Oreochromis niloticus: one gene and its partner. Each later gene encodes a partner of the first gene's protein in a complex. Links are inferred from orthologs where the notes say so. Each region holds a gene or a part of one and is shown on either strand. Other genes may lie near its edges.

Region 1 (7,843 bases):
CGTCTTGTTACTCGCTCACATCCGACTTAACATCTAAGAGGTTGTGCCAAGAAAACAAAGCAAACAGCTGTACTGTAAATATTTTTTATATGAATATACTTAAGTACACAAAAGATCAGATGCAGAGAAAATGCAGAGAGAAAAAAAAACACATACAAGTGACAACACAATTTGGGGGAATTTCATACTACAAATACCAGGCAAATTAAAAGGATCAACCTACAGTATGTACAATAACATTTAAAAATGGATCTTCCACAGAAATGTTTCTGCTCAACTAACCAAGATGAAAGAAATAAAACAAAATGCACACTTAGGTGATCATAAACATGTCTGTGGTTTCATCACGAGTCAGATTTCAGTTCGAAAAACTAAAAAGATCTAAAAACCTGATCATTAGAGACCTTGTCTTAAATATGTCACGTGATGACATGGCAGCATTTTATTCTTTTATTTTCTACAAAACACTGCTGCTCAAAATGTATTTTAAAAAGACTGTTTTTTCACCCAGCGCTGGTAAACGGATCCATTTTTAATGAGCAGGTCAAAAGAAGAAGAGACGTGGAGACCGGACTCATGCCTGGACTTCTGAATCTGCAGCACCTTCTGGGTCCTCGTCATTGTAGATATTTTCAGCCTGCAGACAATTGCCAAAAAAATAAAAGATTTTTAATGTAACTGCTCTTCTATGTTATAATAATAAATGCACTTTACTATTCAAATCCTCGCTGTGTTGTAACTGATCGAGTTTTCTTTACAAAGCCTTTACCATCTGCCACACTTGCATGATGTTGTCCTCTGATACTGAACAGATGACCCACGGCTCGTTGGGGTTCCAAGAGAAGTCTGAGATCTTAGCTGTGTGTCCTCCGTGGATGAACTGAAATGAAATGAAGCAGAAAGATTTAGCACAATGATCAAGATTTAGCTTAAAAAATAAAACAAAGCCAATATTTGAAAGCAACATTACAGTATTTCCCACACAAAGACTTTGGCATGCTCTTCCAGTGTGGCGGCATCTTACTGACAGACCGACTAAGCCACTGTTAAGGCATTGACCACTGCTTCTCCAGAAAAATCATGTAGCTTCCTGGACTCCAACTCTATTGTCATGGATTGCATATGGTGACAGTAGTCCTTGTACTGCTCTACAGAGCCGCTGCAAGCTACAGGGTCACTAACTACAAACTGCAGCAGGTGGAGAAGTTAGTGTGCCACAAGACATTTCTCAGGCTGCTGAGCAGAACAATGACTATCATCACCAGCTGCAGTCCATGCATTGGTGGAGCTGTAGTCCATCTGCTGGACAAGACTGTTACTGGAGAGTGTGGGTGCACAGAGCCTCTGACATCACCACAAATATGCTAATTTTGTTGAGAAAAACGGCATCATCACCACCGCTCATTGTCACAACTCACCAGCAGCTCAGGAGGGCCATCCTCAGCATCCTCTGGTGACTGCTCCTCTCCAATCTTACTAAGGTCCCAGACGTTGAGCCGCCTGTCGGTGCCGCTGGAGGCCAGGATGGTTTCGTTATGAGGAGACCACTGAACCTGTTGGGGAAAGATGTGGACATGAAACCTCTCTAATTAAGTCCCACCCTTGCAGTACTTTGGTGAAATTAGGTGAATATAATTGTAAGTATTATATCTATTGTTTAACACTTTTGGTTGTACACTTGGTACAAGCAAGTGGACAACCAAAAGTGTTAAACAATTTTCCATCACATATTTTCACAAGTTACAACGAAGTCCTACAATCCTTTTTCTCTAAAATGTTCTTCCCAAAGTTGAACACCCCCCCCCCCCACACACACACACACACACACTGTTTTCCACCAGTTTACCTCATTGTATTGACTTTGTATGCAACTGTAACTGTAAAAGCAAACAGCTTCCTGACAGTTTGTCTTTTTGTTAACTTAGTTATACCATAAATAACAATTGCATTTCATCTTTTGTAGCCACAAGCTAGTTAATCACCAGACACATATCTCAGCCTAAATAGCCTCACTACACAATGCAGTTACTGAGCTGAAACATTCAAGCTGAAGTTTACACAACAACTACAGATTTATTGCGAGGAAGTTCACTTCTTACCTGGAAGATCTCGTCCTTGTGGGATTCAAATGAGTGAAGCTTCAGCTTCAGGTTTCTCAAGTCCCAAAGAGCCACAGTCTGCAAGTAAAAGGAGGCTGATTCAGTACAGTATCAACATGCTATTCACTGTAACTGTCTGAAAGAAAGATGCCTCACCTTATCTGCAGAGCCAGTGGCAAGAATGAACTCGCTGTAAGGATTGAAAGACAGGCAGTTGACCTCAGCAGTGTGGGCATCCACTGCATGGCTAGGCTTGGAGGTGTTGTTGGACCGCGTGTCCCAACTGTTCCAAAAACAGACAAAAGCACCAGTGTCAGGAAGAAATGTGAAACTGAACAACAACTTTGTTTTAATGACATTGGCTGAGGCTGCTTACATCATCAGTTTCTGGTCATCTGCCACAGATCCAAAGAGCGATTCGTGAAGAAGGTGCCAGGAGACGTCCTCCACCACAGCAGTGTGGCCTGTGAAGATAGTCTTGGCATCCACAATCTTCCCCTCTTTGGGAACTGTGCTGATATCCCACAGGCATATAGTCTGCAAAGAGCACAGAGGAATGTTAAAAAAAAAGAAAAGAACAAATAAGTAACAAATGATTATCAAAGTGATAGAAGACAAAGAAGCATTTTTACAAGAATAAGGTAGGCATGTCAAGACAGGTTTCTTACATGGTCATCAGAAGCACTGAGGAGACAGCCACTAAGGTTTGGGTTCCATGAGAGGCCATAGCCCTCCTTCTGGTGGCCCCTCAGACGGAGATCTGGGGTGCATTCTCCAGAAGGGTCTTTAACAGAAATAATGTCACTGTTAAAAAGCCCGTAGAGCTTCAAATGTAGTAACGCATGATATGCAGTTATGCAAGAAAAAGTGTTCTTTCTGCAAACCTACCAGGCTTGGAGGGGTGCTTTGTGTAATCAAAGACTAGGACATCACTGGTGGGGGTCTTGGTGGCAATGATGCAAGGATTCTGAGGCATGTATCGGGCTCTGTTCACTTCTCCTTCATGGTTGATCTTGATCTCAATCTCTATTTTCCCACTAACAGATCCAAAGCCTCCAAACTCTGAAATAAAAAGACAACAGATACATGAAGCTCTTCCATTCCACGAAGCAGGTTTTAGGGTGACCTACGCACCAGGGATTTTTATGTATTTTTTAGACAAAAAATGCAACCCTTAAGTTACGTAGCGTCTTATATGCCCAATGTTCCTGTTAACCAGTTTTGCTCTTAATAAATATTTGATAAACATATTACAGAACTTTAAAAAAGCAATTAAAAAAGTACGTAAGCTACTATTCTACTTGTTCAGCTGACATTCACTATTGCCCTTGCTTCGCTGAATGAGGTTAAATTTGATTCATGCTGTTATAAATACGTTACTTCCTTTTCCTTCCCCTTGTGAGCAGAGTTGCCCATAGCCAACAATGGTGTTCTTTCTGCACCATCACACAATTATCAATAAGCTATATAGGAGCTGGATAGCGCTACATTAACAATGTGCAAAATTAAAACACTACTGAAATGTCCTCCAAACTCTCTGCATTCACCAGGTCTAACAACTTTTCTGGTGGAAGTGTACCAGTATTACTGTGCTAAAGTTGGATTAGATCAATTAAATTAATATCATCCAGATCCAGCTTAGGCATGTGAACTAGTCTTGTAACATAGGTTCTCAATGGACTTTTTATGCTCTCACCTCCTTTCTCGCTGTCATAGTGTGAAGCATCAAACTGGGCATCATCATTCGGCAGTTGAACGCTGGCAATTACGAGGTGATTCTGCTCATCAGAAGTATGGGTCCCCAGAACCAGCCTGTGCACACTGTAGTCCTTTCCCTCTGGTCTGTAGACATATGGCATGACATTTACGTATCTGCTACAATCTCTTGTTGTGACTTGAAGCCTGAAAAGGTGTTGCAGATCTCCCATTTACCTGGTGACATCTGGGAGCCACTGAGCAGTGAGGCTTGGCCACTCCAGAGCATGGGTCATGACCAGATCATAGAGGAAAGGGGTGTTCTTCTTCCAAATTTTATACTCCTCATTGATCACCCTTTCCTCCACAGCGTCATCAAAAGCCGCTGCAACAGTAACATTCAACACAAAGCTACGTTATAGTCAAATTTACAAACATATGCAGCAGCTACTTGAGGAAGTCTTTTCCTTGTTTTAATATCAGGACTAGCATTTTAGTTGATTTTATCAATAAAGTAACAGTAGCACACAATGCTAGAGCAGCTGTCGCCCTATAAATAAATAATACAGTCTTTCTGAAGATTATTATATTGGTGCAGTATATCAGACTGCACTGGTGAATTAAAAACCCTTTTCACCGGCGCGTTAGCAGCTAACGCTAACATCAGCTAACAGCTAGCTGAATGCTTTCTAACAATGAAAGGTGATGCTGGCTGGCGCGGCAACCACCGCCGCTACATCCTGATTCGCATTTTCTGTCACTCTTGACAGCACACACACATAAATAACGTTCTTATTAAAAAACGTAGACGTCCTTACCGTCTTTATCAGCCATTGTGTGGTTATAATACCGCTACTAATGACAAAAAGAAGTATTTTTTAGGGAGAGCGCTCAGAAGACAGCACGACGGCTCGCAATGGCGCCAACTCCATAGAACGCGCCTAGCCAATCAGAGTCGACGACAAAACCGACAGGAAGTCATTACGCGACACATTACTACATCCGGTGCTGTGCCAAAAAAAAGTAACTTCCGGTATTTGCAAACTGTAATGATAATAACAATGATAGGTAGTATTTAAGCCGTTGTGAATAAGTTGGCCATTTTTTAATGACAGCTGAAAGCCCTGTTTTGCAAGGAGGAGCTCTATAACATATACATACGCGTCTATGCTCTATAAACTCTCTAGAGGTTCCTATTGCTAGTAATTTTTACAATTTATCATTTGTTTAATTATTTCTGTTAATATATCCATTGTGTAACAATGTAAAAGCTGACGGACAAGAAGAAATGAGAAAAAAGAGCGAAGAAAAAAAATAAGTGTTCTTCTTCTTTCACGGAAGCAGTACGGCGAGTCAAGCCTGCCCGGAAATTCAAGAAGGAGAACACACGGACATGGTCTAGATAAACGTCTAGATAAACCTTTTCAACGAGCTTCTGTCTACAATGGACGATCGTGTGTTAGACTTGACAGAGGCACAGAAAGCTGTCAAATCAAAATACCCGCCGATCAACAAGAAATATGAATGTAAGTGCGACGTTATGATACTTAAAGTCGGAGCAACCGCACCAACCACGATGCTGGTGCGTTTCAGTGGAAGTCGAAATTTCCGAGTTGTCAATATTTTAAGCTGGACCGCCCCCTCATGTCACCACCAACAATCACCCCGACTATAACTGGGCTCTGTCTATAAACGTGTGGGAGCGGTGCTTTTGAACGAACGAACGAACAAACAAACAAACTGTGACATATTGTTCGCAAGGCGAAAAACAAATCCTGATTTTTCTTCCCGTTCCTACTTTGAGTTGCAGTTGAAAATTCCACGTGGGAAATGAAAACTCTGACTTCAAATGCTAATAGTTCCTTTACCATGATAAGCTATTTTTTTCCCCCTAAAGTCTAGTTTTATTTTGATTTCAGTGAGCTAAAAGGATTGCTCGTGTTAAATTTTCTCAAAATTCAAATTCAAAAAAGATCTTTAATATGTGCAGTTTTTTTTACATTTGTGTGAAAGAGATTCTATTTTTCACGAGACTATATAGTCCTGTGAAAAATTTAGTGCAACCTTACTCTTTCAGGTAAGCAGGAGGTAGGCGCTGTTAATCAAATGTACCTGATTAACTGATCACCAACAAGTGTGACCACCTATAAACAAAAACAGCAGATTTGCCAATTTCCTACTGATGTCTCCTGTACTGTGTGACAGGTTTCTAATTTTTTTGTTGTTATTAAAGTCTCACATCTGAGAACTAATGTGCACAATAGTGAGCCATCCAGTTCTTCTTTGTCAATGTTGTATGGATGTTGCCAGTCTACTTTAAATGTGTAATTATGCGTCCTTCATGTCAAGAAAACTAATCTTGAGGCTACAAACCCATCAGGTTTTACACCGATCTCTACCGTCTCTTCCCTTTATTCCTGAAGTATGACATAAAGTGGTTTTCCACCACATGCAGTCCATTTTATATATCAAAAATATCGGTCAGCTTCTTCAGTCTTTGTTTACATTTATTTATAGAAATTATATTTGTAAGGTATCTGATACATTAAAATTAGTATTATTTGCAGACCACACAAATATTTTTGTTCTGGAGGGAATCTAAAGCTTGCTGGATACAATCCAAACTGTAAGGAAGAATTTATTAGTTACCAAATAGTGGAAAGGGGGGTGGAATTAAATAAGCTTATGCTTCTTCCTACTCCTTTTTGAACATGTAAGTTATTTATAATTATTATTTTGTTTTCCTTTTGTTGTCTCTTTTTCCCCTGTTGTTGTTATACTATTTTAACATGTTCAAAATAAAGGTATATACAAATACAAACCTGCGGTGTACCTCAAGGCTCCATTATGGGTCTAATCCTGAGTTTTAAAGAGCTACCTTAAAAAAGTTAATTAAGTAGTTCTTCAAAATAAATGCTCACATAAGTACCTGGAGACATTTCAGGATTGCTGCCAGTGGCAAGGCGTTAGGACTTTAATTCAGTCAACTCATGATATTACCTCTTTTTTTTTTTTTTTTTCAGACCTGGATCACACAGCAGATGTACAGTGAGTACCTTTTTGGTATAGTAAAACCATGTTCCTCTGTTTTTTCTTACGCTTAAAAAAACCCCAAAAAACTTCTTTTTTTCTTTTCCAAGAATTCACTCTTGGGGAGGCTCTTTGGAGGAAGCCTTTGAGCAGTGTGCCATGGGCATGTTCGGCTACATGACGGACACAGAGACGGTGGAACCGACAGATACAGTTGAAGTGGAATCGGAGGGTGAGAGTCTCTCACCAAGATTTCAACAGACTTCAGTTGTACCTACTTTCTACCTGTGTCAGTCTGGCTGTTTGCAGAGCAGACCAGCTAAAATCTGTGTTTATTTTTTGTTCCTAAAAGGTGAAGACATGGAGTCGCTTCTCTTCCACTTCCTAGATGACTGGTTATACAAGTTTAGTGCAGATCTTTTCTTTATTCCTAGGGTGAGTGTCTTGGTCACTTGTGTATTACTTAACACGTACTTTAAACTTCTTTACATTGATTGATTGCATACCTGTTTTTGTTTGCAATAGCATTTGAGGCCTGAGCCTTTATAAAATAGATCAGTTTTGATATACAGTATTACTTAAATGGGTAAGTATAAAATCTTTCTATGACACAGAAATATAACATAGACTTCATAGATTTCTATGAAAGCAGGACAGAAAGCAACATGTATTGCTATCTTAACCACCTCCAAATTCAAATCAAATCAAATCAAATCAAATCAAATCACCTTTATTGTCACATCACATGTGCAGGTACACTGGTACAGTACATGCGAGTGAAATTCTTGTGTGCAAGCTTCACAAGCAACAGAGTTGTGCAAAATACAATAACGTGCAACAAGCAAAATATAAAAATGGTTAATCTAAAAGTAATAAATATATGTACCATATATAAAGGTATATACATTACTGAATGTGTGTACTAAATATGTTTTTCTACGTGTGTGTGTGTGTGTGTGTGTGTGTGAGTGTGTATATACATGTTTTACAAATGAAATAGAGTAAACAATAAAATAAGA
Region 2 (7,855 bases), about 7.4 Mb from region 1:
TTGGTACAACATCCAAATGCTGTTACTATCAGATATGCATGTTTTCCCACCTCCTGTCACTCTGAGTTTAAAAAAGGAAAAAAAAAAGAGAGAGAGAAACCACACCTCACTTTGGAGTACAAGAGAACAATTTATCTTCCAGATTCCTCCCTAACCAATGCTCCCTTTACTTTCTATGCAAACCTTCGAATGTGGGGAAACGCATTGACCTCTTGGCGGACTGAGTCAGTGACTAGACGGGACATTTTAAACGCTATATATAGGTAGACGACAAACCCCTGGTACCAAACTCCAAACACCTGTAAATATGTAACACTATATTTAAGTACTGATAATAATCCCAGTTTTTTTTTCGTTTCTTCTTTTTTTTTGTCTTTAAAATTTTAAAGATAGAGTTGTATTTATCGTTGCTGTCAGCATATACCGTAGCTTGAAATGACAGCATTTGTACATAGGTCACCTTTTAGTATTATTTCACATTGAAAAGTAGAGGGCGTTTGTGATGGAAATGACTATTGAGCTTCTAATAGAGTTTCTCTCTAGTTTTGTACGGTAGAAGGAAGGATAGTGCTAACACGGTACAGTAGTGGCAGTCCACTTATTTTTAAAGTTTGATATATAAAAATATATATATATATAAATATACATACATACATACGTATAAAGCTGCTAGATACAATCACTAATTTTATTGTGTTGACAGAGAAAATCAGCTATGAACGACTGTTAAACCCTAATTCTCCAACAGCATATAACGACAACGGTCAGTTTTGAAATGTTTGATTGCTCTGTGTGATGAAGTGGACACTTGTGCGTGTGTGGGTGCGAGAGTGTTACTATATGTGCCCACGGATGTGTGTTTGTATGTGTGTGCGTGCTAGATTCCAGGTAGGTTGGCGGTGTGCGTGTGCCTCGCGTGTGCGTTGGTGTGTGTGTGTAACCAAATGTTTGGTTGGTTGTCTTTTTCTCCCATTGTAATCTGATTACCCTGCATTATTGCAAGCTGAACCAAGGTTTGATGAACCTGATTAAAACTTGCTGGCTGAGAAGCAAAATGTAGGACGTGCATTTATACAAAGTGTAGAGAATGCTGAAATAACACTTCTCATTCTGCATTAACCAGCACAGTGCAACTTCCTGTCATGTACTGTATTATATATGCAACATGTGTCTGTCCGCTTTAATATATATATATTTTTTTGACCTGCATTATATAAAGACTTCAGTTTTAACCACTTTGCTGCTAGTCTTTTATCCTCTTTCAATCTTGGAAACTGTGCATATCTTTGGGAATGCATACAAGTGTACATTCTTGACATTGTGTAGATTAAGAAAGATGAAAAAAAAGCTATATAAACCTGTTTCTCTTCAGTGTATTGTTTTAAAAACGGTTACTTTTTACAGCAGTTGAGTGGTTATGTTTCAATTCTCCGATGCTTTGATGCACTGATGATACTATATGTAAGCTTTTTTTCATCTTACAGCGCTCGATGTAACATTTACGTGATTAGTTCTAAATAGTGGAAGACATTTGTGTTTTGAAACTTGCAGTATAAATGGTACTATTCTTAACTATTCTGTAAAACACTGCCTGTTTTCTTACTTTTCGTTCTTTCACTTTCTCTATTTGTGCACATTTCTTTTTCCTGTGCATCTTTTTTTTTTTTTTTGGGTTTCCTTTTAGTGCCATCTGCTTTCACATCCTGACAACCTCAAAAAAGTGCCTCACGTCCATCCTAGTTTCCATCTTAACATCTCTTGTTCTGGTTTTATTGGTTTCTACACGTCTAGGTATTATCATGGTTCGAGAATACCAAGTATCTGTTGTAAAATTTATAGTACCAATAACTCATGTCATAGTTGTATTTTCTTTATACAGATGTAGCTTGTTACTTTTCATAAATATAATGTAAATATGCATACATATGTTTGTAACTGTTTTTATGTTACATCATACACTTGTAATTTGACATATCAAATAACATTATCATAATAAAATGGTGAGTTTTAATCTTTTGCCTGCGCTTGATTGATTTCTTGATCACAGCCAACGTATACAATGTTGTATAGAGAAGACAAAATTAAAGAAGACATACATTCAGTGAACCGCAACATTAAATGGGTGGAGACCTCTGAAGATTGAGAACCAAGACTTCAGCAACAGATCCTTTAGGTTCTATACGTTGTGAGGTGGGACCACAAAATGTAGAACTAGTTCAAGCCCCAAACCCATCTAGCCATCGATTCATCCATCTTCTGTCACTTATCTGGGGCAGGGTTGATGGGTCAGCAGTCAAAGCAGAAATGTCCAGACCTCACTCTCTGCAGACATCTTCCCCCAGTCTTTCAGGAGGATACTGAGGCGTTCCCAAGCCAGTTGAAAGATGTAATCTCTCAAGCATGTCCTGGATCTCCTCCCAGTGGGACATGCCCAGGAGGCATCCTAATCAGATGTCTGAACCACGTTAACTGGCTCTTGTTGATGTAGAGGAGTAGCTGCTCTACTTTGAGTCGATGTCAGTGGTTGCAAAGGACGCTGCAGAAAAAGCTTTATCAACAACTGAGAGATCCAATGTTCTAAATTCCTACAAAATTCACAGCAATGTTTGCCGGTAATTGTATGCAATAGAAATGTGAGCTGGTTCTCAGAAGCCATGAAGGCAGAATTGTTTCTGTGGAACTTGCTAAGATGTAAAAAGTGTATTCTCACTTAGATGGGCAGTAGTATAATTAACAGTTATAGCGATAGAATTACGGACTCATTATCCTGCAGAATAAGGCTTCCACTATCAGGAAAAGCAGTTGTCATAAGTGGTTGTTAGTGGTCTAGAACATTAGGTAGGGGGTCACACCCACATGGAAGCCAGGACATAAAGTTTCCCAGCAGAACATTCCCTAGAGCATCACACTGCCTCCACCATGTTGGCTGCTTCCTTTGGTGCATCCAGCTGCCATCACTTTCGTCATACTAGTCGGCTGACAGTTCAGTTCTGATACTGATGGCCCCATTGTAGATGCTTTCAGGAGTGGAAGATAGCCAGCCTGAGAAGTCTGATAGGTCTGGAGTCTGGTTTCACTCCAGTCATTACACTTTCCCTAATTCTGTGGTGGTATTCAGTATTGATATTTAGACCTTGGGCAAAACTTGCTATGCCATACAAACAGGATTGTTTCGATATTGTTGGTCACGTGAATTATTTGGTCCACTGTATCCCTGCATGAACCAAATTCACAACACATGTGTACCAATTCTAATTCTGACAAAATGTAAATTTTTACAAAAGTTATATAACAGCTGATGGAGATACAATCAGTTGTCTGCCTCATATTATCATAACCTTAACAGACGCTTTATTAGTTCCACCTTTATACTGCTGGTTAGACCCCTTTTACTTTCAGAACTGCCTCAATTTTGGTCTATATTTACAGGCTAGCACCGGGGTAGGCAACTCCAGGCCTTGAGTGCCAGTGTCCTGCAGGTTTTAGATGTGTCCTTGATCCAACACAGCTAATTTAAATGGCTAAATTACCTCCTCAACATGAAATGCTGAAATTCTCCAGAGGCCTGGTAATGAACTAATCATTTGATTCAGGTGTGTTGACCCAGGGTGAGATCTAAAACCTGCAGGACACCAGTACTCAAGGCCTGGAGTTGCCCACCCCTGCACTGGACTGATCAATACTCAGTCTAAGGCACAGGTGTCGAACTCCAGGCCTCGAGGGCCGGTGTCCTGCAGGTTTTAGATGTGTCCTTGATCCAACACGGCTGATTTAAATGGCTAAATCACCTCCTCAACATGCCTTGAAGTTCTCCAGAGGCCTGGTAATGAACTAATCATTTGATTCAGGTGTGTTGACCCAGGGTGAGATCTAAAACCTGCAGGACACCAGCCCGCGAGGCCTGGAGTTTGACACCCCTGGTCTAAGGTTTCCAGTGGGTCCCACTACTCCTTTGCCAACCTGAAAGCTGGCAAAACTCACCAAAATCCTTCATTAGGTCTTTATGCTTGTCAATCCACACCATTTTATTTTAGGAAGAGGCTGCTCAGCCAGCCTTTGGTTTCAGAAGTAATGATTAAAAAGTGGAAAAATGTTTATCTACACCTTAAAATAGAGGATTTCAGTTTTCCCCTTATATAATTGTTTAAATATCCTCAGCTTTAATAATAAACATCAGTAAAAGTGACGCAGAAATGCACTCACTGTGAGCACAGCGATGAGAGGGCCCTGCAGCAGTCCCACCAGGACGTCGCCCGGGTGGTGTTTGTAGTCAGAGACGCGCGTGTATCCCAAATACAGAGAGAATGACACCAGGAAGAACTGGATGGTGGGGAACCAGTCTCGTCCATTTCCCCTGCATCCTGGTCTGGACATGGAGCTTTACATACAAAAGTACAGATTCGAGCTCAACTTGAAGGTTACATGCACATAAAAGAACCAATTTTTGTGGAAAAAAAGAACAAAAAAACAAACAAGACAACCCCCAGGTTAAGATTGGAGCCATTTATCTATAGCTATAATCTTTTTCGGACCATTCCCTGTAAACCCTAGACATGGGTTCAAAGTCCCTTAAATGACTTTTCTCTTCCATTCTGATGCTAAATTTGGTCATAGGTCTAAATGCCTACATGAGCTGCTGCCATATAATTGGCTGATTAGATATTAGCATTTGTATTTGTCATCTATTTTCCGACATCAATGCACAAAGTTTATTGTTTTAACTTTAAATATATACCTCTAATTTTGGAAACAGACACGGTTTACTTACAGTTTTGCTAAAACTGGACTTTCACTAGGCGGAACCAAATTTGCGGAACATAGTTCCGAAATTCGCCCGTTTCATTCCGGGTCTTTTTCATGGTCGGACCACAGTGGAGGAGGATATCCACGATAAAGAAATGAATGGACGCTAAAGCCCCCTGTGCTGTTATGTTTTAAGTAGATACACGCGCGTGAAACAGCTCGCGGCTTCAGCGATGGAGTGTGACATTTTGGACTCGTTAGAGCAGCTTGGGTAAGCGAAGTCACTGCTAGCATAACTGTTTAGCTTCCACGTCCTGCGGCGTGTTTTCAATCAAAATAAAGCAGCCGGTTGAGCCAAGACCCCCGTCTAACTCCTGGCTGTGTTTGACTTTTGGCGCTGTGTGCTGGTCCGTAGCTATGACGGCCCTCTGCTTGAGGAGAAGGCGCTGCTCAGAGCCGCAGAAGGAGGCCTGCAGTCGCCTGAATATGTGGACCTCTGCAAGTGGTTGTCAGCCAGGTTAAAGCCGCTGTGTGACCTGGAGGAGAGCATCACCTCAGGCCCAGGTGAGCAGCATCCATTCTCACCTTAATCTGATCTAAAAATCAGTGTCTAATCTTTGCGCTCACATCTGTTTTGGTTGCTCTTCTCCTCCAAGATGATATGGACAGCCTCCAGCTGGAGATGAGTGGTCTGCTGAGGGAGCTGCACTGCCCCTGTGAAGTTTCAGGGATTCTCAAGGGCACTGGGCAGAAAACAAAAGACCATCTCAAGTTTGTCTGTATGTATCATTCTGTGTAATCCACTCTGTGGGCTGTAAACTGTAAGTAAGCAGGAAGATTAAATTTTTGTGTCTGTTTTTCAGTGTTTTTAAGCTCAGAGCTTCAGGCAGCCCAGATTGTGAGAAGCAGGCAAGTCTCTGATAAACAAGACCAGAGTCCAGTGAACCAGGAGCTCACAGCAATCTGTGAAACTCTGAAACTACCCGTGCCAAAGGGACAGGAGGCTGCAGGAGTTTTCTCTCAACTTCAAAATAAGGTGAGGCTGTTTGAACTGCACGTGATTTCATTTAGGATGAGCAAGAATAACGCTCGATTTATTGATCAAAATGTATGTGTAGCAGTAGCAGTGTGCGCAATTCTTTTACGGTAATTGCAAAGCAATCAAACAAAAAAGAAAATGAACAAAGATCTGCTCCTCCTACTTTAACACAAGGCATGATGCAATCTTTAAAAAAAAAAGTATTCTTCAGAAAAAGGAGGAAGCCTTAGATAAGAACCCACTCAGACACAGTGAGAACATGCAAAATCCACACAGAAAGGCCTTGGGGAGATGGTGTGGTCGAACCAAGGACCACCTCGCTGTGAGGCAACTACTGTCCCACCCATTCCAAAATAATCAAATTAACACATTAAAAAAACCCTCTGGACCGTGTAATTTAAATGTGTAGCACTCTCTGCTCATTATTATTAGGTGGCACAGACAGACATCAACACATTTCCTTCATTTTCTTCCTGCATTAGCTGTTAATACTTGAGATAGCAAATTAGGAGGAAATTGTGTGATACATTAATCACTGTATTTTTACGTCACTGTCTCTCTTTGATCGTTTTTTTGTTTAACAGGTTGAAAACTTGCTTAAAACCCTTCCTGGTGCCTCTGTTGGAAACCCAGTGCTGAAGAAATCACTCAGTAGTGAACAGTGGGTATGTATATGATCGGCTGAATGTCATAGCTACACTGTACTGTGTATGTATCTGGTCGTATTGTTGTTACAGGCCTTTTTTTTTTTAATGCTTGCAGGAAAAATTACAAAGCATCAACGCAACTCTATCGTCGGAGTACGAATGTCGCCGCAGGATGCTGATCAAACGGCTCGACGTCACGATTCAGTCATTTGGGTGGTCAGACAGAGCCAAGGTATGTTTACAGTCACACTTCAAACTGACATCTGCTTGCTTGAAGAATGTTTTGTGGTTATTTGGTGGATAGCGAAAAGCATTCAGATAGTTGTGTTGTGTTTTAGGTGAAGGTGGACAGCATGGCAGGAGCCTACCAGCCTAGGAGACACTCTCTGAGGCCTCAGTCCTCTGTGGACATAGCGGCGCTGCTGGCTGCCAGAGAAGATCTCTGCAATGTGGTGAAGACCAGCAGTGGCTCGAGCAGGGAGAAGACCGCTTGTGCCGTCAACAAGGTGCAGCAAACGTTTCCCACGGCCGGAATAATCAGGCCGATTTGGACGTTTTCTTCATAGATGTTCTGTTTAACCTGTCTTCGCAGATCTTGATGGGAAGAGTACCTGATCGAGGAGGACGTCCCTCAGAGATCGAAGCCCCGCCTCCTGAGATGCCCCCCTGGCAGAAAAGACAAGATGGCGGAGGTGGTGGCTGGGGAGGACGTGGCGGTGGTGGTGGAGGACGAGGTGGAGGAGCCTGGGGACAAGGAGGAAGAGGTGGTGGAGGTGGATGGGGAGGAGGGGGAGGAAGAGGAGGAGGTGGAGGTGGTTGGAGAGGAGGTGGGTGGAATCAAGGAGGACACAGCAGACACGGAGATTACGGAGGACACAGTGGGCATGGAGGGAAGCGAGGACGGTACCAGTATTAGCTTCCACTCATTGTCTTTTGCTGGGTTTTGTTGTTGTTTTTGTTTTGTTGCGATACTAGACGTAGTTTTTCACATGACCTCAACTGTTTATTTGTTTTTTATGGATGAGAGAACTTTTTAAAAATCTGATGGTTGATTGTCAGTATTGGGTGGAAAAACGTTAAGCTTTAATCTGTGCCATCTATCATCTTTTTTCCCCTTCACTATTCTCATCAGTGTTTTTAAAGTGAAAGTAGCACTCAGTACATGAGTTTTCACTCATACAAAGGTGGCAAACACAAACGCTGTGGCCATAATATTGCAACTACGTTCCAAATGAAGACTACATTCTAATTCCCAGCTGGTGTGTAAACACTGGCAAAGTGACTTTAAATGGTAAATCCAGCTGAGATCCTTTTATATACTACAAAAACACATTCTGCAGCGTTCAGGTGTTAAGTTAGTATTTAGTGTTGCAGTAGTTGGACACAGCCTGTATCTTTAACATTGGTCAGCACATAGACCATTTCC

What was found. The genes of interacting proteins can lie anywhere in the genome.
Region 2: zbtb8os (region 1) and fam98b share a complex: the UniProt entries of both Homo sapiens proteins name them as parts of the tRNA-splicing ligase complex. The link is inferred for Oreochromis niloticus from reciprocal best matches to the Homo sapiens genes ZBTB8OS and FAM98B.

Annotation. Positions count from the first base shown.
Region 1 is NC_031983.2:8,554,752-8,562,594, forward strand, and holds the start of zbtb8os (protein archease), read left to right. Parts: upstream 1-4,833; 5' UTR 4,834-4,983; intron 4,984-5,138; 5' UTR 5,139-5,238; coding exon 5,239-5,320; intron 5,321-6,817; coding exon 6,818-6,842; intron 6,843-6,913; coding exon 6,914-7,056; intron 7,057-7,176; coding exon 7,177-7,259; intron 7,260-7,843. Other genes in the region: histone-binding protein RBBP4, read right to left, coding at 575-637, 770-880, 1,419-1,553, 2,100-2,177, 2,256-2,382, 2,476-2,636, 2,768-2,883, 2,988-3,161 and 3 more. UniProt on the Homo sapiens protein: Component of the tRNA-splicing ligase complex required to facilitate the enzymatic turnover of catalytic subunit RTCB. Together with DDX1, acts by facilitating the guanylylation of RTCB, a key intermediate step in tRNA ligation.
Region 2 is NC_031983.2:15,982,707-15,990,561, reverse strand, and holds the start of fam98b (protein FAM98B), read left to right. Parts: upstream 1-4,837; 5' UTR 4,838-4,976; coding exon 4,977-5,014; intron 5,015-5,158; coding exon 5,159-5,307; intron 5,308-5,399; coding exon 5,400-5,522; intron 5,523-5,606; coding exon 5,607-5,779; intron 5,780-6,366; coding exon 6,367-6,447; intron 6,448-6,544; coding exon 6,545-6,661; intron 6,662-6,767; coding exon 6,768-6,935; intron 6,936-7,021; coding exon 7,022-7,345; 3' UTR 7,346-7,855. UniProt on the Homo sapiens protein: Positively stimulates PRMT1-induced protein arginine dimethylated arginine methylation.